Arabidopsis thaliana: one gene and its partner. The protein of the gene in region 2 interacts with the protein of the main gene of each other region in a pairwise test. Each region holds a gene or a part of one and is shown on either strand. Other genes may lie near its edges. The genes, in order: HB34 and AT1G24210.

The links.
Region 1: the proteins of AT1G24210 (region 2) and HB34 interact in a two-hybrid assay, tested with the Arabidopsis thaliana proteins (one large-scale study listed by BioGRID).

Annotation. Positions count from the first base shown.
Region 1 is NC_003074.8:10,936,955-10,946,611, forward strand, and holds HB34 (homeobox protein 34), read right to left. Parts: upstream 4,880-9,657; 5' UTR 4,583-4,879; coding exon 3,644-4,582; 3' UTR 3,351-3,643; downstream 1-3,350. Other genes in the region: AT3G28922 (pectinesterase), read left to right, coding at 9,079-9,088, 9,123-9,163, 9,260-9,394. UniProt on the Arabidopsis thaliana protein: Putative transcription factor.
Region 2 is NC_003070.9:8,569,771-8,579,343, reverse strand, and holds AT1G24210 (Paired amphipathic helix (PAH2) superfamily protein), read left to right. Parts: upstream 1-4,159; 5' UTR 4,160-4,285; intron 4,286-4,802; 5' UTR 4,803-4,816; coding exon 4,817-4,956; intron 4,957-5,045; coding exon 5,046-5,169; intron 5,170-5,269; coding exon 5,270-5,371; intron 5,372-5,472; coding exon 5,473-5,574; 3' UTR 5,575-5,800; downstream 5,801-9,573. Other genes in the region: AT1G24220 (paired amphipathic helix repeat-containing protein), read left to right, coding at 1-272, 398-499, 582-686; AT1G24200 (Paired amphipathic helix (PAH2) superfamily protein), read left to right, coding at 6,967-7,106, 7,204-7,381, 7,467-7,565, 7,645-7,713, 8,067-8,171; SNL3 (SIN3-like 3), read left to right, coding at 9,417-9,556.

The DNA of each region.
Region 1 (9,657 bases), on a different chromosome or scaffold from region 2:
TCCTCTAATTGATTTTCAACTAGGGGATGTTATCAAGATAATGCTCATAGGTCCTTTTTTATTTTGTTTTCTTATAATACAACAATTTTTTTTAGAATACAAAAGGAGTGGGAAAAAGATACACAATTTGGTCTTTTGATTCTCCAAATCTCAACTTTCTTAGAATAAGCTTTTCCAGTTTATGCTATCCCACTTCATGCATAACTTCGTTTTTTCGTTTTTCTTTTTTTACATAAAGTGTTGCAAGACATTTTTCGATTTTTGTTTACGAGAAAAGAAATAAGACTTACCTATCATGTGGTACAAATGTGAAGACAAGAACCAGAAGATTTTTTCTTTGTAGCATTATTATTGTTAAATTATGGGTCATTTGCAAAACTAGCCATATTTGATAATTTAATTAAAAATAAAGCATAATATACATATAAATTAAAAAAGTAGCATATAAGGGTTGTAAAAAGACAATTTTGGTGTGGAATAATTGGTGAGAGATGATTTAGTAACACTTCATTTAGTTTTCACCCATTTTTATGTTTTTGTTATATATCTTTTCCAAAAAATAGATTCTAATTCTGAAATTTATGAGATGAAAATTTATGTTTTTTTCTACATACAACATAGTTTAAATTTTAAAAATCGGATTTGTATTTATAAAATAGTAAATAATGTTTGTAAGTAAATTTATATTCTACTATTTATGATGTATAGAAATAAAATGTTGTACTATACTATTTTCATAAATTATTCGTAATTCAATTTTAAGTTTAGAATAGAACAAAATATTTTAAATTAAATAAAGTAATAGTGGTGGTAGTGGTGGTGGGATAGTAATTTAAGTTGCAATAATAGCTACGATAATCGTAAGAAATAAAATATAGACGATCTAAATGACCGAGTTAAACCGATATGATCATCATTAAAAAACTATACCCTAAGAGATACAATATTGGGAACCCAAGCAAGCGTGGTAAACTGTTGTTGTGACATAGACAGTAGCGATGGTGGTGGGATTGACGGTAACAATGGTGATGATGATAACGATTATAGTGGTGATAACGGTAAAAATGACGGTGGTAGTGGCGGCAATACGATTGTAGTGGCGACAATACGGTTATAGCAGTGAGACAGTGATAAGGTAATGGTGACTTGGTAGTAGAGATAATAGTATAATAATATAGGTGATAGTTATATTATAAATTTTATTATGTATAATATTATTTTTTTAGAATAGAATAGAAAGTACATATAGAAAATAAAAGTAAGAGACATTAAGAGAGAGAGGGAGAGAGGGAGAGAGGGAGAGAGGGAGAGAGGGAGGGAGGGAGAGAGAGAGAAAGAGAGAGGGAGAGAGGGAGAGAGAGAGAGAAAGAGAGAGAGGGAGAGAGGGAAGGAGAGAGGGAAGGAGAGAGGGAGAGAGGAAGGAGGCAAAATTGTGAATAATACATAAAATATAGAGAATATGATTTTAGCATTTTAAAATTGTAGAAACAACAAAAAAATTAGAATAAAATGAAAAAATATATAAAAAAGAGAGTGAATTAATTGAAAACACCAGAACTAGTATTTTAAGAATGTTCATAATTCATATTAAAAAATATGATAAATAGTTTTCTGCAAATCGGATTCCATCAATAATTTGTGATTAGTAAAACGACTAAAATTTACATCACAAAATTATTTCAGTATATTCCACTAAAATTAATTTATAGCGGAAATTAGGTCATCTATGTTTCCAAAAAATAATTATATAAATTAAAATAAGAAGTAGGAATTTTGTTAGCAATAGTTACGTCAGGAATAATTCAAATTAGTAAGTGGTGCACTGTGCACATGGTATATGGCAGTTAGGGCCATAACCTCACCCTGTGTTAAAGTTTGTCCCTACCACGAAAAAGAGATTTGTGACTTCACGAAATCTGTAAAATAATAGCAAATATATATTAATTTGTTTATTAGCATAAATTTAACAAATTCTATTTGGTGATAACGTAAAATATATATATATATATATAATGTATAGATCTTTACCAAAATCTCTCTCCATATATATTGAACCAACCCTTAGTTTTGACCCAAAAACCCCTTAATTAGTAAAACTTATTAAAAACGTAAACCATTTTTCTTAAGTAAAAACTTGAACCTCAGATTTTTTCGATAAATTTCTGTAATCAAGTGAATTATCACTGTTTAGATTTTTATTCTATTACAACATCATTCAACAAATAATTTGATTTTCTAAAACCATAATGATAATATAATCCAAAATTTTCTTTTTTTATAAAACATAATTAATAGTACTACCTATTTAGTATTTACAAACGAATGCACAACAAACAATTCTATTGTAATATAAAATTCATTGCATATATTCATTCATAGGTCAAATTTAATTGACAATTCACATAGAAACCCAGATATTCTATCTACATTATATTATACATCTTTAGATAGTTTTATCCATAAATCTAGCTAATTAGACAAAACGTATTCTCTAAGAATTAAATCCTAGACACCAAAAGCATACTACATAACATATTTTGTGCTTTCTCATGCAATATTCTAATCTAATTACAGTTTTATTAATATTTTATGTTTGGTAAGCCGACATTTATTAATCACGACTAGTATCTAATTGTCTTAAGCCTATCGCATAATCACGGCTGCATTTCTACGTTTCCCAGTTAGAAAGTTATTTAAATTATTCGTAAAGTTAATGATTAGTTCCACGCCCTAAATTAACACTATATAGCACTTTAATAATAATAGTTAGATCCCAATTATATAATATATACTTATTTGTAGTTTGCACTTTAAGAATATCGAACACTTGAGCATATATACCAAAAACGGATAGTGGGAATGTAAGGATGATAAAGAAATGGATTAATGAGGAAATTAAAATGAATTATCCGATGAATCTTTTGTTAATTAGACACCAAGATAACTAATCATTGCAAAATATATTATTAGAATAATTAATATATAAAACAAAACCTGTCTCTTTTCTCAAAGAATAAAGAGAGATTTATGAAAAGGACACCTAGATCTTAGTTTGATCGCATATTAAATTAAGCGACAAAGTACTCTTCAAGATAAGAAACCATCAAATAATATTAAATAATTAACTAAATTGCAATAGTTTATTTATGTTTGGGACTCACATTTTAGGGTTCGTTTGATTACCTAAATTGACCTATAGTGTTGTGACTAATTCGGGTGATTAGTTCATATAATCTTTCCATTAGTGGAAAAGTATTATGAAACCTTTGGGAACGTTACAATTTAAAAAGACAAAATGCTTTTAAGATAAGAAGCCAAAAAACATATTATTAAAAAAAACATTAAAGTTATAAAATTTTCCTCATTAGGGTTCATTAAATTAACCAAAATTGACTTATTATAACATAATCCAATTTGTTGATATAAACTTACTTTAAATGGAAAAATAAGACAACGTCGTGGTAATGAAATTATAATAAAATTGGAAAATTAAAAAAGAGCTAAAAGAGTTTAATTAATATTAATAAAACGTATTAACGATAATAATACCAGTGCTTACTCTCTATGATCTAAAGCTAAAAACAAAGCTTAAGCTTCCATTATTATAACTCTTTCCCTGCAAAACGACATGATGTTTTCTTCTTCACGACGAAGACGACGAGGCGTTTACGTTTCCGCCACCATCAGCTCCTCCACTATCACTCTCAAATCTCCCACCACCACCGTCACCGTCGTTAGCTAAACCGCGAACTCCATCATCGTTACTGTTCTCGCCGCCGATACCGTTATCGTTTCTCTGCACGGTGGTTGCTCCTCCGCCGGAGAATTTGAAGGAGTTTTTGTTATTATGCATCCAAACTTTGAGAACACCTTTATCAACTCCGATCTCACGGCAAAAATCACGAACTTCGTCTTCGTCACGTTTCTGAATCTTCCAACCGATTCGATCGGCGAATTCATGCATCTTCTCTTTCTGATTTGAGCTAAACTTCGTCCTGAATCGCTTCCTCGAGCCAGGCGTGGCGGAGAGATGGTTAGCCGCGGCGGCGAAGTTTAGATCTGAGAACGGTGCGGTTTTATTATTACCGGAGAGAGCTAAAAGCATGTAGGAGGAAGAGATAGGCGGCGGAGAAGATGAATTAGGACTACGTGGTAACGGAGGAGCTAGCGGAGGAGGAGGATGATGACGGTGATGAGGCTGATACTCAATTGCGGCGGTTGTTGTTGAAGATGGAAGAAGAGACGGTGGTGGAACGGCGGAGGAATCGTCAGTTTCACGGCGGTGGAAGTTACGGTGACAACCACAAGCTGCACACTTGAGAGAAGTTGGATCGGAAGGTGTTGACGAAGGAGACGGCATAAATTCGCCGCAACCGTCAAGCGCGTGACCACCAATCGCCGCCGCGTGGTTCTTGAGACATTCTTTGTAAGTGACTTTGTTGTTGTTGTGGTGGTGGTGGTGGTGGCGTTTGATGATTCCGTTACTGAAAGAGATTGGTTTAGCTGGTTGGATCCGGGTCGGAGTTTCGGATTCGGGTTCTGGTGATTTTGGAGTCATATCCATTGATCTAACTTCAAGCATCTTTATGTTTTTATTTTCTTGAAAAAAATCAAGAAAATATTAGGGTTTATGTTAAGCTTACAAAAAAAGAAAAGTTTGATATTGAGAAATGAAGAAGAAGATGGATAAAAAGAGATTAAATCAACTTTTGAAGATCATGTTTTTTGTAATAAGTTTAAGAAAATAAACTTTAGAGGAAGAAGATGTGTTATAAGATGATGATAGTGAATCTGCTCTGGTTGATGAATGTTGCTAAGAGAGAATAAAATAATTTAATAGGGAGAGATATAAAAATGTTAATAAATGTGAATAATAAATATATTTAAAATAAAAGGACAGAGCTTGAAGATGTTTAACAGAGAAAGGTAGGGTTTGATGATTTAACTATGGTTAAATGTATGGTTAAAAGTGGGACCTGTAATAGGGAGTGGGGAAATATATATAGAGTAATAAATGTCTTAAACCTAAAGACAGTCCAATTATAATTAATATTCTCATGCATTGTGACACTTCTTGTTTTTTTTTGAAGTTGGCTTCTTTTTACTTTATTCTAATATTTGTTCCTTCTGTTAAAATATGTTTAGCATTTTGTATATTTGACTATTACAATGTAATTACCGAACAACTTTGTAAAAGTTTACTTATACTATTAGGTATTATTGTAAACTAAATAGTTGTTTTTCACAAAATAATATTAAAAAAAATACTTATTCTGTTTTGTTGTTTAAAGATTTTTTCCAAAATAAGTATTGTTCTAAATTTTCAATGTAAAATCTATAAAGTATGAATCAGTTTGGTTTTTAAAATATAATATATATTAATAATTTATATAAAAATATTTAAAACGATATTATTATGAATGGAGGAAATATATGTTACCAGCAGGTAACTATATTGAAAAATGAATAATCTCAAATAAATTCAGTGGTTATCATTTGAAGTCATTCAGCCACCTTTAAAATAAATTCAGCCATCATCAGTTAAGGGGTTGATTGGTTCTCCTTCTACTACATGCAAACGCATCATTTACATGTGGTAACAATTGTTAGTGATTGACAATAATCATATAAATCGCGGGATACTGCTCGGATCGCTCGATATCAATACATTTCAAAAACTCCTTCCCGCAAACGTTTGTAGTTGTGGATGGTAGCGGTTGAATTAAAATATTAAAATAATAATAAATAATCAACATATTTGTAATTAAGATAAATATATATAATTCTGTATATATCTTTTCATATTTGTATCTAATCCTATATATTATATTTATTTTGGATCTTTTTTATTTATTTAATTATTATTGCATCTAGTCATAAGATTTCTGCAAATGCATCTATTTTGAAACGTTAAATTAGTCGTTTAAAACGCTTGAAACCACAATATCTCGCTTCCGCAAATTTCCGCAACCGCAAGCGAAACCACAGCCCCGTCCGCTGCAATTAAACCAGTCATGTCTTTAGTCATATGCAGTTAAATTCTTCGGTTACCATAAATAGATCCTATATCAAATTCGGTCTTTTGGGTTTAAAACTAAGACCTAATGTCTAAAAACTACCGTCATTCAAGGTCATAGACTAAAATCTAAATTAGTATCGGAACTTACTAAATATATGTAATTTATATTTATTATTTAAAATATTCAAATTTTGATGATTCTCTGTCATGTGCGGTGGTGTGTACAAACAATCAAGCAAACGCCATGGGCCAAGGCCAATGTGTTCGTACCAAGCGACCATCGCCGAGAAAAACGAAGTCGGTGGCCAAAGTTTCTTCTGGGCGATCACATCAAGAGCATCACAACTTGCTCCTTCTTTCGAACAAGCAAAATACGGCTAAAACCAAAAAAAATAAAGAAAAACATTTCAGAACAAAGCCAATGATGACTAAACCATAGTGATGAGAATAATCACTATACAAATGAATTGGCAAATAAGAAGGTCGTATTGTACGCATGTTTTTGGATTCTGAAATCACAAATTATTTTCCAACGAATGATTGCATCATTGGACCGAGAAATTCAACCTATCGATCGGTAACCAAACACGAAAAATATGATCCTTCGATTTTTTTTTTTAATTATCTCTCAATCGGTTCGTACACCACCATCAAACATCAGTTAAGTGGTACGTGAAATATTAAACCACATATTACGTCCGATATAACAATCTTTGCCTTCTTCGTTTTTTGTCACAAATAAATTATGTGCATCTATGTGTATTTTGAATTTCGTACTACAAATATTTCTGTACATGGATTAGATATACAGATTCGGTGCATAAAAATTATGGTTAATGATGTCTATTATGAGAATAAGATGTATATTATGTTGGGGACTAAGTTTTCTTTATTGTTTTTTTTGTTTGATGATAAAGAATTATTCTATTTTCTTGGTCGAAAGAATGATGGAACCACATTTTTCTAGATCAGGAATCAGATTATCAGAAGAAGATAAAACAATATTTTTTTTTTGTACGTTTATTAGCTATAATGCATTAGTTTCTAACTGTGGCTATTAACTTAGACCGCGAGAGATTAAGAACATATTTTTAGCTGACCCGAACCAAATTAGTGATATACTGTAAAACGATTTTGGACAAGTTTCAGTGGCCCAATGGACTATATTAAATTACTATATTACTCCATCTTAGACAATTTTTATTGATGGTATCTTAACATAACTATTAATTAAAAAATATGTCTTATATCTAACTAAAGTGTTTTAAAGTCTTTTAAATAAGAGATTTTTGTTAGTTATAAGCTATTATAAGACATTATAAGACATGTCTCTTAATTTAAAAATTATTTTAAAAAACCATTAATAATATACTCTTAAAAAGATAAATACCATTTTTGTCTCTCTACACGAGGACCACCTGCGTATTTTTTTTTTTTAATTAGTTGAAAAATATACTAAATAGACTAGTGACTAGACTAATAGTCATTGTCCAAATATAATTTAAAAAACAATCATTTTATTATTTATTATTTTAAAAATAGTCACCTTTCACTATTTTTTTGTACACTAAGATTCATACAATTTATTTAGTGTGTAAATATAAAGAAATATACATAAACTAGTTTCACTATTTTTTCCACTTAGTCTCTTCCAAAATTTGATTCCATTATAATTTTTTTTTCCAACCTAATCTTTTATTTCCTGATTATATATATATATATATATATATATATATATATATATATATATATATATATATTCATTTTCACAATTCATTGTAACTTAAGTTTCACTATTTTTATTTTATCTTTTAACGATGTCTTATTTTAATTTTGTTTTGGTCAAAAACATATAGTATGTGAGTTTTAAGTTGGATAATGACACAACGATTTCACTAACACCAACATTAGATTGCATATTCTTATATATTTTAAATTTCAGATTTTTGTTATTATTAAATGTATAATGTTTTGGATGGAAGATTTTGCATAGTTGGAGGTCGATCTACTCTTTTTCTCTCAGCCTTTGACTTTCTTGTGAATGGATTTTGAGTTAGTTGTCTGGATAACCTCAAAAAGCTAGAAGACTCACGATTGACGCATGCTTTCCAAATTGTATTAAAATTAGATAAAAATTGTATTTATCATTATATAATATTTTTATCCGTTAAATGAAAACACAAAATATTTGAAAGAGAATAACTTTATAAAACTGAATTTTTGAATACCTGATGAGAATATTATTAGATTTATATTTATGTTTTATTTTAAGAATTTTAATCTATATAATCATAAGTAAAACCACCAAAAATTTGGAAAAGTGGCATATAGAAATTATATTGTCTGTTTTATTTAGTATATATTGTCTGTTTTATTTATTAAACTTAAGTCATTTAAAATTAAACTGAAATGAGGTAAACTTAACTTACAAGATTAGGTAATATAAAAAACTATAATTTAAACAATGTTTGTTGTTAATTATGTTTTGTTATATGTTAAATTTTTAAATATTAACTAAGATATAAATTTGATATGATATACGTATTGTTTTGATAAAATCATAGCACTTATCCATTAAGATAAAATTCGTAGAATCAAAACAAACTTTATTATGATAAAATAGATAGTTAAATAGTATTGTAAAATTGAATGTATAAGACTAAAATTTGGTTTTAAAAAATATACTAAATTAAATATAGAAATAGAGTGTAGATTACTTTAATATGATGGAGTGTGTATAATTATTATGAAATAGATTGATAAAGTTTTTAGAAAATTGAAGGAAAAACGTGTATAACAAAATAGAATGGTAATAATTGAAATTTGATTTTTAAAAAAATAACTAACTAAAATATTAAGAAAAGTATGAATTACTATTTAGAATTCAAATATCATCAAATAAATTTATATTTAATTCTTACAAACGCCTAATTAGACGAACCTTATCTAATTTTAACCGTTTGAGATATTGTTTTCATTGTTTTTGTGGTTTCTAATGAAACTTTTTATTCTTTTGTAGATAGTTTATATTTAATAGTTTCTCATATGAAAAAAATCATATGTTTTATGGTATCTAATTAAATTGTTTTTCTATAATATATAGTTTCTAGTGAAATTTTCTCTCCCTCTCCCTCTCTATGTAAAGTATCTAATTGAATTTTTCCTTTACTCGTAGATATTTAGTACTATATGAAATTGATACTTAACTTAATGTTTTTGTTCATCATTTTTTGATATAAGAACTCGTCTCCCGCACTAAATTCTGGAATAATGGGTGCTCAAGCGGTGTCTCTAAAGGTTGTAGGAGACAAAGCCGCGTTCTATGGATGTGGGTTATATGGAAAACAAGACACACTTTTGGACCAAGAAATATGACTTTCTTCAAAAAGAGTTTTTTCAAATCATCGATTACTTCATATCTGGTAATTGGAGATCGTTTTGCAAGGTTAAAAAAAAGGGTATTATCAATATGTATACATAGAAAATTACAAAATTAAGTGTCAGAAAAAGCTACTGTTGAGCCTTCTCTCTCCATCATGAAAATACCTTTATACCTCTATATCTTATTTGCTTTTGACATTAAATATTTTGTTACCTTTTAATAATAATGTTATCATCTTCTCATAATTATACAATCT
Region 2 (9,573 bases):
CAAAGGCAACCATACCTCCCAAGTCTAGCAGAACCATTTCTCCCAAGGCTAACAGAACCATCCCTCCCAAGTCGAAGAAAACCTTCCCTCGAGAGGCTAAGAGAACTATCCCTCGAGAGGCTAATAGAAACAGAATCATGCCTTCTGAAGCGAAGAAAACCATCCATCCAGAGGATAAGAGAACCACCCGTCCTGTGGATCATTTAGCCTTCTTCATTCCAAAGGCTAAGAGAACCATCCCTCCAGCTGAGTCTAATAAAAACAAAAAAAACGTTCCGCCAATTTTATGGAGAATCTTGAGGTATAGATTGCTGAAATGGTAAACTAATGGAAACAACATTTTGATGTTTAGTATATGTTAACTTGCGGTTTAAGTAACAAAATTGTCCATGTGCAGGCAAGGTTTCAGGGCTATGGTAGTCATGTAGTTAACTCAGTTCTCCAGATATTGAAAATGTACAGTGAGGGAAACAAGTCCAAAGATGAGGCGTATCAGGAGGTAGTGTTCTTGGTGGGACAATTTGTGTTGTATGTTTCACTCTCTTAGTTCTTTGGTTTGATTTGATTTGTTAACTTTGCAGGTCGTTTCACTTCTTCAGAATCATGTAGATTTAGTCATGGAGTTTGGCGACTATTTCAGTGGAATCTCTGCCTATAATAGGTTCTTAAGAGATGGAAAAGAGTAGAGCTTCTAACGAGAAGAGAGTGTTATAGTTTTCTTTTGTAAGACATTTGAGTTTAGTTTGATTCTTAGTCTAAGGAGAGAACACAACATCATCAAATGCACATATGCACCTCGGCCCAAGCTGAGATCATCCTAAATTCGTAACACAAAAGAAAATAAAAGTTTTTTTTTTTTTTTGCAAAAGGCTTAAAATAATATTAAAGTTACACCTTAAATATCTAAAACTTAAACCATAAGATGGTGTGTATTTTAATTTATTACGAAACATTATAAAGTAAATTTACTAGTATTTGTTGACCAAAAAAAAGAATAAATTTTTGAAAAAAAACTGTTGGATAATTCCAATTACTTGAGCAGCAAGTAATCTCTCTAGAAGATTTTAGAAGAGATAATAAGAAAATAGAAAATACAAATAAAAGTCAAGTTGGATAAGTTCGTAAGTTTTTCTATTCATTATAAGATTAGGAGTAGTTTAATAACTATAAATAAGCGCTTATGGAGAGATGTTCCATAAGACACAAGAGAGAGATTAAGAGGCTTTAGAGAGTTGTTCTAAAGACCTAGAGAGATTTAGTTTTGAGTGAGTTTCTAAATCATATATATGAAAGTTGGCCAATACTCTCCATATGAGTGACACATTATCATACAAGAAAATGACATGTGTTATTATACATTAGTTAAATTAAAAAAACTAGCAAAAATAATTGAGAAAAAATCAAAAGTCTTTTGTTGTGTTAAATTCTCCATTAATATCACTCTTAAATGAATTTTCTAAGAATAATCAATAAATAAAAAATCATAATAATGTATCAAGCACTACTTTCATTCTTTTCTACTTATTTTATTAATTTTTTTATCAATAGTTATTAACCCATAATGGCTAAAATTTTACTTGTGTTGGAGTTTAGATGTTTGCTACCTAACCTCATATTAATTTAGTAATTTTAGTTGGATATTTTTTTATTATTATGTTTTGTGAATTTGATTTATCATATGACCTTCTTTATGTACATTTCACGTAATAGTCATCCAAGACATTAGACATACAAAAAAAAAAATGAGACTCTATATGACTTTATGGTAGGGATGAAAATTACAGTGTTGACTTAAATTACTAGCATATCATGATGTGATTGTGTACTAGATGACGAGAGAGTATATGGAATAAATAATCGTTTGTTACAATTAAGTTAGACAAGTTTCAAAACACATAAGTAATATAACTACATACTGTACATTGTATCAGTATATCATATATTGTTGTAGTATGTGATCATGATAGTGAAATATTAGAATAATAAATATATAAATATACATATTGTAGTAGAATTGATATTTCGAGTTATAGATGAATCTAATCATAAAAAATAATAATTATATTAAATAGATAAATTTATCAAAATGAACATCAAAATCAACAAAAAACCATAATCATATTTTCCAACAATTTTAAAAACAAAAACCCATGCGTAACATGGGTGTTCATCTAGTTATAATAAAGATAAATCGTTCTTTAATTTGTTCTGTTCTTGAATCACGTCACGAATCATACAGAAACTAAGTTACAGCTAGTCGGCTTTGATTTGAAAAACTACGAAAGTAAATTTACTAAGTTATTTTCAGATCTATGGCATCAATTCTTTTGAGTTTTGACATGTAGTCTATTTTTTAATATCAACTAAATATATAATTTTAATACTAAATGCTACATTGTAATATTATAATATATATAAAAAATTGTAATAGTAAATCCTACATTGTAACAAAAGTGATTTTAAAATCTCGAAAAAGTTGAAGTAATAAAATAAAGCTTTGACAGATATGCTTATAAAAATTTACAATTTAATTTGTTATTTACTAAATTTACATTAAAAATCTGTAAATTTTAATAAATGTCAAATTTTATTTACAAACTGACATGTGTTTATTTCATTTAATATTACAATACAATTATATCTCATTGCTACAAAGATATTAATAGCAAATGGACTGATTTCTGCAAGGTTTTTGATATATAAAGACACCCCATACAACTCAAAACGATTCATGTCCTAGTGGTGAAGCTTCTACCCGTAGTAAATTTCTGGTTTGCTTTTCCTTGAACTTTTTTACTTTTATGGTTTGTTACTCTGAAGTATTTTTACAATTCTTCTTTGACTTTACCGATCTAAAGTTGGTTATTGTCATGTTTATTGCATGTACTGTTAAAAAATCCGAGTAATTGTTAATTAAGATCTCTGATGCAAATTCCTGTTCTTTTTTCCAACGATTTTAAGTTACTTTTAAAGAAAAGAGGTAATGTGTTTGAGAAGATAGAAATCAAAATTAAATAATTAATTTCTTCAGTGAAAACAAATAATAATAAAAAATCATTCTCTTTGTTTGGAAAATACAGCTCGATCAATTGAAAACCATGTCGGAAGGAGACAGTATATTTGTGTATAAAGGAGACAAGCCGAAGCCAACCAAAATTGATGCAAAGGCATATATTAAGGCTGTGAAGGATCATTTTCATAATGATAGAAAAAAATATGAAGACTTTCTTGCGATTATGAAAGATTTTAAAGTTCGCAAGTATGTGATATACATAGTTTTTGGAAAATATGACTAAAAATGTTCGGTTCAATTTTTTCGTGTTGAAGAAGTAATTAATTTTGATTTTATAACTTCATTGCAGAATTAGTAGGGCTGATTGCATAACAGCGGTGAAGGAACTGCTTAACGGAGACCAAGACTTGGTTTCTGGTTTCAATGTATTTTTACCAGATTGGTTGGAGATCTAATTATTAGATTGGGGCATGAGATGGGTAGGTGATGTTGTGGGATTTCTTCGTTCGTCTAAACCAAGTTCGGTTTAGATTTGTATTAAATTGAATAATTTATTTGTGATTCGTTCTTTTATTTATTTATTTAGGAATTATGTTATGAATTTAGCCATTGTGTTTTATAAATAAGGCTGTATGATCTTTGTTGCTTTCAATTAACTTCATAATATTAATCTTTTTTCAACTCGTTACTCTTATTATTCAAAATATCTTAAAACGCTAGAACTTCACATTAACACATAGTATAAAAAGCAAAGTATACTAGGTGTTGTTATCAAATTTATACTAGGAATGTATACTAGGTGTTGCTATTGACTATTAATTAGAGTTGTTGAATGTGATGTTGTATTAGAAAATACTGTAGTTCCTAAACATTAACCATATCAAATTAATTTAACACATATATGTATGTAATGTTATGTCAAAGTCAAACTAAGAAATATATGTTTTGGGGAAATTATCTCTTTAGTCTAAACATTAATCTCTATTTTCGATTAGATCATCCCTATACTAAAATTAGCATTTCACATTTTTTACTTTTTTTACTTTTCTCAATTAAAAAGTTTTAATTAATTAATTAAAAAAAAGAAGAAGATTTGCCTTTTTCCTTTTTTAAACCGTACTTTTGATGTAATCCTTAATTATATAATCCAACGTTAAGTGTCGGAAACTAAACCCTAGAGAAATCTCTTCTTCTAGTTCTAGTCTCCTGCTTCTTCGAGATCGTGTGTCGTAACTCGTAAGCTAGGGAAGCCCTTTTTGTCTTCGAATTTCGGTAACTATACGATGATCTTCTTCTCTTATTGTCATTGAATGATTTTGTAGTTTCTGGGATGATTTCGAATTGGGTTCTTCGAATTTAATTTCGTACCTGTGTGATCAATTTTACCTGAATTTCATCAAATCCGATTTAAACCCTCAAATTAGCGAATTAACTTCTTATTGTTTTTGTTAAGACTGAGATTTTAAGACTTCTAAGTGTTTGGTTGGTTTGCTCTGTGTTGATATTGGCCACTTTACACAAGTTCTCACGTTGGTTCTGATGGGAATGAATTAGTTGTTGTTGATTTTGGTTTTGACAATTATTTGGATTTTGAGAAATTTAGCTTATTGCAGCTTTATGTCTTGTTCAATTTCAGTGTTGAGGCAAATCATAGATTTAAGTAATGTTATTAAGATTTCTGCACTCTAGGTTCTGTTTCTTCAAGTGGTAATAATAGCTTCTAGGTTAAATTCAATGATGTGATCTGTTTTACTGAACAAAAATCTTCTCTTTCTTTTGATAACAAAAGGCTAGATTCAAACCATGGTTGGAAGACGAGTATCACCTGCTCTAACTAAGGATGATGCGCATTCATACATCATTGCTGTGAAGGAAACATTTCATGATGAACCTACGAAATATCAAGAGTTTATCAAGCTCTTGAATGGTGTTTGTGATCATAGGTATGTATTCTTTTCTTCCCTGTTATATTTGGTTTGGTCTTTACTTTCAACTGTGAATTGATTCTGATGTTACTAGTCTCTTTTTGCAGAGTCGATAAATATAGTGTCATTGCAAGGGTGGAGGAACTGATGAAAGATCATCAGGATCTTCTTCTTGGTTTCAGTGTCTTCCTTCCACCTGTTTCTGTAGAGGATTTTATAAACAAGCTCAAGGTAAACACATGCTAAAATGACAAATAATCCTTGGAGAGAAACACCAAAATCCTTTTTTGATTCCTCTTTTACTAACTAGAGCAAATTTGTCCATCTGCAGACACGGTTTCAGAGCCTTGATACTCATGTAGTGGGGGCAATTCGCGGGTTAATGAAGATGTTTAAAGAGGGAAAGATGTCGGTAAAGGAGGTGCAAGAGGAGGTAATGTTTGTTCTTGGTGGGCTATTTTGTGTACTTGTGTTTTTTTTTTTTTTTTTTGGTTCTCTTTGTTTGATTTGGTTAGAAATAATATTATCTTGCAGGTCATTGATGTTCTCTTCTATCATGAAGATTTGATTGAAGACTTTCTCAGATTTTTCACAAAGAACCCTGTATCAACAGCATCACTACTACTACAATTATAACGAGTGATGTATTTTTTATGAATGAGAATGGAGTGTATAGTTTCTTTTGTAGAGGTTTTAAATCTTTGCTTTTCACCATGAAGAGGATGAGATTTGAATTTGATATACTCAGATGATTGAAACTCAAAGTGTCACAAAACTCAAAAATACTTCTCATAACCTTATTTTGTTTATGTTGAATTTTACTGATGAAAAACCTATGAAAGATCAAACATTTTTTTAAAACTCATTTCTTAGTTTTGTTATGTACTTAATTAATGGTTGTTAAAAAAAGGGTTTTGTGTAAAAAAACACTTCGAACTCATCCATTTTTACAATTTTATCCTTCACCTCCAACATATTGAGATTAATCCTATGAAGTCTAAAATAATACGCATTGTAACCCTTCTTTGTTTTTTTCTTTACTATTAATTTTGTAAAATATTGACATGTAATATATTAAATCTAAACCCTCACGATGAAGAGTTCAACTCTGCCTTCAAAATTTTAAAATTCTAATGTATATCATCGTAAAAACGTTTACAATATACGTATAAATGTCATATTGCGTATTATTTTAAACTTTATAAGATTAATCTGCATATATTGGAGGTGGAGGGTAAAGTTACAAAAATGGATGATTTAACCCTTTTAAAAAAAGTACATAATTAATTAAAATACACCAAATAATAAAAAAAAATCATTAAAATAAATAGAAAATCTTACATAACCTTGGAATCATAATACATAAACAAAACCCTACCGAGACTAGAAACTCGTCTCCCCTGCTTCGTGCTCGTGATCGTGAAGCCTTCTTCATTCGTCTTTGGTACCTATACACATGTGTTCTTCTTCTTTTTTGTGTGATCTTCGTTACGTCCACTACAAGTTTTATTTTCTTTGTTCATTGCCTTTGTAGTTGCTAGATCTGTTGCTTGTTGTAATTTGTATTCGTGGGATGATATCGAGTTCCTTGAATATATTTTTCGTAATATGTGATAAGATATCAAATCCGACTGATGAAGTTTAATCAACTTGAAGTCTCAAAACTAGATATGAGTTTTGTTTTGTCCCCAATAAAAAGTGTTAATCTAATCCCGTCAGACTTAATACTATGGCAATCTCTGAATTGGGGTATCTTTGGTTAAGAATGAGAGTAGGACATATCTAAATCCAATACTTGACTGGTTTGCCCTGTGTTTGAATTGACTACTTCACATGTGTAGGTTACGTGTGATAACTAATAATGGATCACCTTGAGGAATGAATTGTTTTGTTGTTAAGACTTTGGGGTTGTTCAAGGATCCAATATTTTTTGAAGAAACCTTGCACCATCTTTTGATTCTAATAATGTTTCACCTTTTTTTTTGGCTGCCTCTCTTTGAACAATAAAGCTTTCCTAAACTTCAAACCATGGTTGGAGAAGGAGGCGCACACAAGCCTACTACAAATGACGCGCTTAAATACCTTAGAGCCGTGAAGGCTAAATTTCAAGGTCAACGTGAAAAATATGACGAGTTTCTTCAGATCATGATAGATTATAAAACTCAGAGGTTAAAGTTCTTTCTACTTTTATGTTTGCATTTGGTCTTGGTTTAGGTAAAACTCCATGGTTTCTGAGAACTGATTACCGACTATTGTGTTGTATAGAATTGATATATCTGGTGTTATAATAAGGATGAAAGAACTCTTGAAAGAACAACAAGGATTACTTTTGGGTTTCAATGCCTTCTTACCAAATGGTTATATGATCACACATCATGAACAACCTTCACAGAAGAAACCTGTCGAGTTAGGGGAAGCAATTAGTTTTATTAACAAGATTAAGGTATATATGTTTATGTGTTATAAACTGTCCAAGGAAATTACTGCTTTTCCCTTTCCTACTCTCTTAGTTATTCATTCATTTGCAGACAAGGTTTCAGGGCGATGATCGTGTATACAAATCAGTTTTAGACATTTTAAACATGTACAGAAAGGATAGGAAGCCCATCACCGCGGTCTACCGGGAGGTAGGCTCATTGATTCATACTAAGTTTTTTTTTTTTTATTGCTAATATTTTACTTAGTTTCACACGTTTATCTTATCAGGTTGCCATCCTATTTCTAGATCATAACAATTTGCTTGTGGAGTTTACTCACTTTCTGCCTGCTACTCCAGCTACTCCAGCAACAGCCTTGTTGCATTCACAGTTTTGCATAGATCATCCTGATTTGCTTGAAGAGTTGGATTGCTTTCTGCCAACTATTTCTCAGAGTTTTTTGTGACGAAAGGATTGCTATGTTACTTCAATCGCTTCACATATAAGTAGTTTTTTTTTTTTAAAGTTACAAGTCAGAGATAATAGTAGAGGTTTTTTCTTTTTAATATGCATGATTAATAGCTTTCTTTTCCCTATAAATTATAGCCACTATCAAAATTCAAAATTACCATCATCTATAGTTATTCAATGCTTTTTTTTTTACCTAGTTATTTCAATGCTTACCTATGAGTTTACTATGTGTAACATGAGGATAAGGGTTATCGGAATTATTCTACGAACAAGGTGACAAAGTTTTCGGTCTACCGGAAAGATAGTAATGCCGATAAAAAAAAAATGAATTTAAAAGGCGAATAATATGTTCCGTTTTTATGGTTTTAATCAAGTTAGAGTTAAATTATTCTTCTATTAATGTTAGCCAAATATTATTTTTTAGATTTAAGCAAAATCTAACCGTGTAATGTAATATAGATTCCATTTACATCAATGATTTTAGAACATTTTTTCCCCATTAATAATTTTGATAGGTTTTGCATTAAGTAATTAACTTAGAAATTTTAAGAAAAAACATCTATGTTGACCAAAATAAAGAGAAAAAAAACATCTATTAATAATATGATTAATCATCTAAAACTTTTTAATTACAAAATTATTTCCAAAAAAAATGAATAATTTATTTTATATCAAAAATTTTCAAAATTAAGTATGTCTCTCTCACATACCAAAGGAGATAAAAACTTCCAAAAGAAAAAAAATGTTAAAAATAATAAAAGAAGAAGATAAATTATAAGTCTCCTAAAATGATACAACCAACAAAAGGAAGTAATAAAAACAAGAAAATACAACTTTGATTTTTATTTTATTTTTTGTCAACAGAAAAATGAAATAAGTAAGTAAACGAAAAATTTAGCGAACGAGAAAGTGTATTAAATATGTAGATTTTAATTTACTTAAGAAGACGTAAAACTCCTTTGAGAGAAATCTCAATCCTTTCTTCATAAAAACATAAAACTCTCGTTTGCTCAGTGAGTCTTTTCTTTCTGTCTGAAAATTGTTGAATAGTTTTTGTCTTCTCAGCTGTTTCGTCGGAGGAAGCTTCTTCTTCTAGACTTCTTCTTCTTCTTCTTCTTCGTCTTCTCTGAATTTCTTCGGTAAACTCTCTAACACATAAACGATGATGATCTTCTTTCGTTTTTTATCCTTTCTGTTTGATTTTTGGGTATTACAATTTTAATCGTGAACTGAATGTGAAATAATCTGAGGATTAAGTTAAGATCGATTTTTTCTGGTCCGTCTCCTTTTGTTTTTTCTTCATAAATTGTTTCTGTAGCTGCTAGATCTACAGGTGTTGCTTATTGGGATGAAATTCAAGTTCGGTTCTTTGAATTTTCCTTGTTTATGTGATTGATTTTGAGTTTTACTAGGTTTTGATTTGTAGATGAACATGAAGAAAGTTGTTTTCAGCTTTTGTTCTTTTGCTGAATCCCAAATTTTACTTGAATTCTCTAAAGAAACGTTCTTTGGTCTTATGAGATGTTGAATAGCTTTCTAAATGATCTGTTTTTTTTAATGGTAATGAAGCTCTGTTCAACTTCAAACACCATGGTTGGAGGAGGAAGTGCTCAGAAGCTAACTACAAACGACGCTCTTGCATATCTTAAAGCCGTGAAGGACAAATTTCAGGATCAACGTGGAAAATATGACGAGTTTCTCGAGGTTATGAAGAATTTTAAATCTCAAAGGTATAGTTTTTTTCTTC